Linked DNA regions of Rattus norvegicus. The protein of the gene in region 1 interacts with the protein of each later gene in a pairwise test. Links are inferred from orthologs where the notes say so. Each region holds a gene or a part of one and is shown on either strand. Other genes may lie near its edges.

Region 1 (3,343 bases):
GTCTGTCATGGTGCTGGCACTGGTAAATTGGAGCAGGTGAGCCTTTGACCCCCACCTGTGTCAACTTGCCCCCAAACTAGTCTGAGTCCCTGTTTTGAAGGCTGTGCTGAGGAGCAGCAACAGAAGGATCTGGAAGCTTCAGTGTATGAGGCATAGTTGCTGCGTCCACTGGACATCATGTCCATCCATAGACAGTTGTCATGTTCAGTTACACATAGTGGGGTCCCACTTTGACCCTCTGGATGACTGTAACTGAATGTAGCAGGGAGCCACTGGGCACTCTCCCTCCCCTTCTGTGATATGATCTTTGTTGCTCAGATTGAACCCTCCCACCCCCCATGGCTACCAAGTCACAATCATGGGATGTGATTGTTTAAGGGTGGCTGTCCATCAGCAGCCCCCATGGACCCGCCAAAAACCCCACTCTTCCTAACTTCTCTGTCACACATCCAGTTACCTGCCTCATGGCTCCTCTATCCTGTGCAGCCATGATGGTCTGTATCATGCTCTGAAAGACACTGTTTCTGCTTAGTTTGGCAACATGGGGCAAGGGCCCTACCCAGTAGCACCCTAGTCTCTATGATCCCGTTGGGTGGCTAGTCTCCCCATTGTGTCCTTTCTACTCCCATCCCAGGTACCTGGTTTACAGTAACATTGTTAACGGAGACCATATTAGGCAGACCCAATATGAGTAGCCAAGCTACTGGCTTCCTGTGCTCTAAGGGGTCAAATCTGTAGTAACAGGCTGGCCAGAGAAGTGGGAGCAATCTTGGTGCACATTGCTTTGGGCTTGTCCCCTAGAGTTCCCAGCACAATCCTGCTAGGGCAGTGATGCCCACATATCCACCAGCCCTGCCAGGTTAGCTGAGCACTACTCAGTTTGTACTCCAGAGTGACTGCAGCAAGGCAGCTCTTGGGAGGGATGGTGACCTCTGCAGGGCTGGCAGCTCTCTGCCAAGAACCTAGGTCTTTGCATGCCACCATGCAACCCTGTTGTGCTGTGGAGGCTGATGACTCCCCACAGACTTGTAAACAGGCTGTACCTTGCCTTCTGGCTCTGGAGTGAGGGTGTCTTGTCTCCTAGTTTTCTCCTGTGCCGATACCTGCCCCCGAGCTGTGGAGGGATGTGATTTTGCAAACGGCTCAGAGTACGAGGTTGCAGCTTGCTCATGGCATATTCAGTGATGTGTGGCCCCAGTGGAGCTCTTGGGCCTTGGGGAGGCTGGGTCTCCAGATCACAGGGCACAAGAGATAGGACCATTAAGAAAGCCGCTAGGTGTGCTCTGGGCTCCCCTCTTCCTGCCTTGCTGCCCTTCTTAAGATACCATGCCCCAGGCCCAGTTGCTGTCCCCGGAAGCTGTGGCCCTGCCTTACTTCTCTGCATTTACCATAAGAGCTAGGCCTTGTGGTGGGTGACATCCTGCCTCTGCTCAGCCTAGAGAAGCGAAACTGTTTGTGAAAGCTGGTGGGGTTCCCTGGGAATACCCATACACCTGGTGGGGCCTGTCCTGGGCCTCTCCATGAGTATGAAGATCTAAGACAGGCTCTGGGGACCCTCATGGGTAACCCTGTCTAGTGGACAGGGCAAGCCAGAGACTATGGCAGCCTTCAGATCACTGTGGGTAGCTACCCAAGCACAGGGTTGGGAGGTCACTCCCCTGCTTCTACAGCCACCCCACCCACTTCCTGATATCTTTGGTCATTTCCTCCCAGAGTACAAAGTCGTTACTGTTCCTGCCTGTGACATGGGTACCATACAGCCCTTGCAAAACCCTTGTAACAGCTCAGAGTCAGGAGCACCAAGGTCATGGCACCTGAAAATCCACACTGGTACCTTATCTCAGGAGTCCAGCCTGCTACTGTGCATGTGTGGCTTCCATGCCTTTAGCCTCTGAGCAAAGGCACCCTAGAAATACCCCCATACTGGGCCCCCTGTCTCTATAGCTAGTAGTAGACCTGTCATATCTCATGCGAGGGTGACCTGGGCAGTGGCTACCTTGCTTGTGTGTCCTAGGGGCTTGGGTATGATGAGTGAGGATGATTGTGGTGGGCAGATTGGGGTCTTGTGCCCCAGAGGGGTGACACATATTGTTTGGCATTCAGATAGTAACACAGCCACTCAGGACTCTCTGCCAGGTCCAGCAGGGTCAGGGCCCAGCTGTGTCTACTCTGCTCCAGGCTCTCAAGTCTAGGCTCCTGATTGCAAAGTGTGCTTTGTGAGGTCAAGTTCTGACTTCCTTGAGAGGGGGGGGAGGGTCCATCCTTATCAGCTGTCAATGTCAAAGTGGCAGGCACCAAGGACTCAGGTACACAAGAGCTTCCTGAAGCCTGCAGTATCCACAAGGCTTGAGCTGCCATGGGGTCTGTGCTCTGCCTTTGCCAAAGTAACAGGGTCAGCCAAGAACTGGGAAAGATGGAAGTCTCCATGGGGCATGGGCCTGGGACCTCAGAGGCAGTGCGCAATGCTAGCTGGGTCACAGCACACCCCAGCACTGTTGGCTTCTCTAGGGCTCACCCAGATACCCCATCTGCCCGCCTTTCCTGGAGTTCACATCCTTGACAGATACAGTTGCCCTCCACAAGCCAGCAGGAATTCCTCCTGTGCCCTCACATGCCTTCCTCCTTGTACCCAACAGCTGGTCAGCGAGAAAGTTGGTGGGGCCGAAGGGACCAAACTGGATGATGACTTCAGAGAGATGGAAAAGGTAGGATTCCACACTGGACTGTGGTGGGGGCTACTCCTGCTGGAGGACAGAAGAGCCTATATCCAGCTCCACCTCCACCTCTAATGGCTCCAACACTGTGGCTCTCTCCACAGAAAGTGGATATCACCAGTAAGGCCGTGGCAGAGGTGCTGGTCAGAACCATAGAATATCTGCAACCTAACCCAGGTAGGTAGGGCCTGGGCCTCTGGTTAGAGGGGTAGGAAGGGGAATACTGGGTCTGATTCCTCAGACTTCCCTTGGAACTGAAGTGATAATGACCTACTCTTGATGGCCTCTACACACACAAGGATTCCCTCTGCTGACTTGCAGAGCCAGTGTGCAGTGGAACCAGGTCTTCCCAGGCAAGGGTGACAGGGCACTCACTGAAGATTGAGAAAGTTAGACCACGTTCAAGAACCCAGACCACAGTGCTGTGATCATTTTGGCCTCTGCAGATGACAGATAGGCCTTCTTGCCAAGGCCTGGAGGAAGGGATGTATTGGAATTGTTCCCCTCCTCTGTGAACTGCCAAGTCCTTGGGAGTATACCCAGAGACAGCCTGGTGCCTGGCCCACTGGCCAGTTGGGGATATGAGGGCCCTGGTCTGGTGTACGCCTCAGTACAGTATAGTGTGGAGA
Region 2 (3,000 bases), on another chromosome or scaffold:
TCACTCCCCCAGGAACAGATCAGAACACTACCCGTCTGTCTGTTGTGGATTTCATCCAAGGTACTTGTAGTACTGATCACCAGCTCCTTGTCCTTTTCAGACAAGAGAGGGAGGCAGAAACAGGGTTGGCAGTTGAGTGTATGACATCAACTACAAACAGTAGGGGTCCATCAGGAGATGATAGAAGCCTAGCAATCTCACAGAAAGCTTCTGCCCTAACTTATACTCAATCCCCCGAGGGAACCAGCAAGCACCTTTCTGTTCCTTTATGGAATAACTGCATTGCTGGTACAGAGGATACAAAGTGGTTGGTGATGGTGGCCTTCATTCCCATCACACCCTGAGCACATGGTTGTAGCCTGGCTCTTCCTGGCTTGGGACAGAGCCCCACCCTACCTCTCTCTGTTCCAAGCATTGTTCCAAAGTCCTCTCACACAAGATGTCCAGAGAGGCAGAACGAACTCAGGGGAAAAGTAATCAATCAAACAGATAACAAAAACAAAAGCCACAAACCAGATTTGGTATAATATTTTACAACAGCAGAAAACAAACCCAAATACTGAGCACTAACATCACACTACAAACCAGGGAAGGGGACACGCAGAGGCTACAGGCACAAGCTAAGTCTTTACAGTTGACCACTGAACTGGCTGTGACCCCACTGTGCTGGTGACAGGACTAGCAACTGTTACATCTGGACATGTCATAGTCCTGCCCTAGGACTTACCTGCAGCAAACATAGAACACTTTACTTTCACACAAGAGAAAGAGGCCACTCCCAGTGTTCAGTCATCACAATGAGCAGAGGACCTTTTGGTGGCCTCCGTGGCTTTGTCTAAACTGCTTGTACTTAAGCATCAACTAACTTACAATATCCCATCACTCCTGGGTGAGATGGGCACCTTCAAAGGTGTGGGTTTCCATCAGTCTCAGTGTCAGCTGCAGTTCTGCTGATCACGCCACAAGAGTGAGTGATGCCAGTAGCCTGTCCAACCTTAAGAGATCCGTTCTTTATCCTTCAAGGCTCTTAGTTAAGATCTTGTTCCTAGAAAACAAATTTATCCATGGATTCATTCATTTACATATTTCTTCCTTCCCCACTTCAGCATCCCCTTGCCCCCCATCTGATGGAGTCTCAGGTAGATCAGGCTTGCCCTGAACTCCTAATAATCTATCCCAGTCTACACTACATTGAGTGCTGAGATTACAAATGGTCTGCTGAGAATACAAGTTAAGAGACCAGAACCAGGAAGGAGCTAAGATTTAAAAATAGGCAAGATCTGTTGGGAATGTATGCATGAACCTTTGAATTTGATCTCCACACTGCATAACCCAGGCCCCAGGGCACCATGTAATCCCATGCTCAGAAAGTGGAGACAGGACAGTGAGAACTTCAAGGCTGGCTTCAAATTGCTAAGTGGTGGCTGTGCATGATTTTCATCCCTGTACCAAGGAGGTAGAGGCAGGCTGTTGGTTGAGGTCAGCCTGATCTACAGAGCTTAGTTCCAAGACTGCCAGTTAGAGAAAAACAAAAACAAATGAAACCAAAATAACACCTCCCAGAAAATTAAAGGGTTTTCACAAAATAGGGTCTCAATATGATCTAGGTGAGCCTTGGTTCCTAGCCATCCCAAAAGTAGACAAAAACCTGTTAGTATGGCTTAATGCCAAGCAGGAGGCAGAGGCAGGCAGACTTTTTTTGCTTCAAGTTTGAGATCAGCACAATCTACATAGCAAGATCTGTAAATGCAGCTCCTTGGGAATATACTTACATGATTAAGGTAAGTAATATTCGACACAGCTAATTGAAATTAACCTTTCCCTCGGGCAGCACACACCCACAGCACTCACTTATGGACACACTTGGGGCACAGCATGTTATCCTCCAGGTGTGGGGGCGGAAATGTGCAGGCCGGAAGCAGGAAGAGGGCAATCGCTTTCCCTTTCTTATCGGGTACCCAGGCTTGTCCAGCATGGAACTGTAGTCGAACCCAACCACTTGAGGTTGCGGGAAGGCTTGTCCCATGCACCACACACCACATTTCCCCTGTGGAACCAAAGAGATTTAACATGAACACACCAGAGTTTCAGACTAGACTTGATGCTTCTCTGAAATGCCAGCCCTGAGGTAAGACTGGGAATCCAACCTTCATCTCAATCCATTTTGTTACCTACAGTGAATGTACACAAGAGACCCTCAGGGCTTTACTTTAGGGCTGTAGATATAGCTCTAATGGTAAGGAGTTTGCTTTAGACTGCTCTAGTGATCCTAACACATCACACGTACACCAAACAAACTCCCAGAAAACTGCTGGGGTGGGGGTGCTACATGATTTCAATCCCAGCACTAAGGAGGTACAGGCTGTCAGGTTGAGGTCAGCTTGATCTACAGAGCTTAGCTCCAGGACAGCCAGAGTTAGAGAAAAGAAACAAAAACAGACAAAAAAAAAAAAAAAAAAAAATCCTATAAAAAAATCCCAAACAAACAAAACCAAAAAGCACCTCCCAGCAAATTAAAGGGTTTTCATGAAATAGGATCTTATCACGAAACTATGGCGGCCCCACTAGTTACAAGATCCTGCTTCTGCCTCCCAAGTACTATGGTTGAGTCCTTTGCAAGAAGTGCTCAACCCCTAGCATCTTTCTCGCCCTAGGACCACCCATTATCATCAGGCTAAGCAGGATTTTCCTTCATGACATCTCTGCTATTCTTACAACAGGGGCTCTCTGAATTTTGAAAGTCTCATGTAGCCTGGGTTGAATTTAAACTGCCCATCCACCTACTCAGGCATTGGAATCAACATGTTTGAGTATGTGCTTGCTTTACTAAGAAGAAACTGTAATCAGTTACCCTCACCAACTTAACAGATGCCAAGAGAACCGAGTCTTCAGCCCTGTCCTTCAAATGAAAAATGTAAGAGGAAGAAAGAACACCAAGCACATCTTGCTTCTTGTGTGGGGAGTGAGTAATCTGAAGTTATTTTCAAAGTGTGACTTCCT

Evidence for each region. The genes of interacting proteins can lie anywhere in the genome.
Region 2: the proteins of Sh3gl1 (region 1) and Dppa4 interact in binary tests that used the Homo sapiens proteins (3 or more experiments, as listed by UniProt). The link is inferred for Rattus norvegicus from reciprocal best matches to the Homo sapiens genes SH3GL1 and DPPA4.

What each region holds. Positions count from the first base shown.
Region 1 is NC_086027.1:936,548-939,890, reverse strand, and holds part of Sh3gl1 (endophilin-A2), read left to right. Parts: intron 1-2,636; coding exon 2,637-2,705; intron 2,706-2,818; coding exon 2,819-2,891; intron 2,892-3,343. UniProt on the Homo sapiens protein: Implicated in endocytosis. May recruit other proteins to membranes with high curvature.
Region 2 is NC_086029.1:66,032,756-66,035,755, forward strand, and holds the end of Dppa4 (developmental pluripotency-associated protein 4), read right to left. Parts: intron 2,048-3,000; coding exon 1,852-2,047; intron 1,046-1,851; coding exon 1,012-1,045; 3' UTR 501-1,011; downstream 1-500. UniProt on the Homo sapiens protein: May be involved in the maintenance of active epigenetic status of target genes. May inhibit differentiation of embryonic cells into a primitive ectoderm lineage.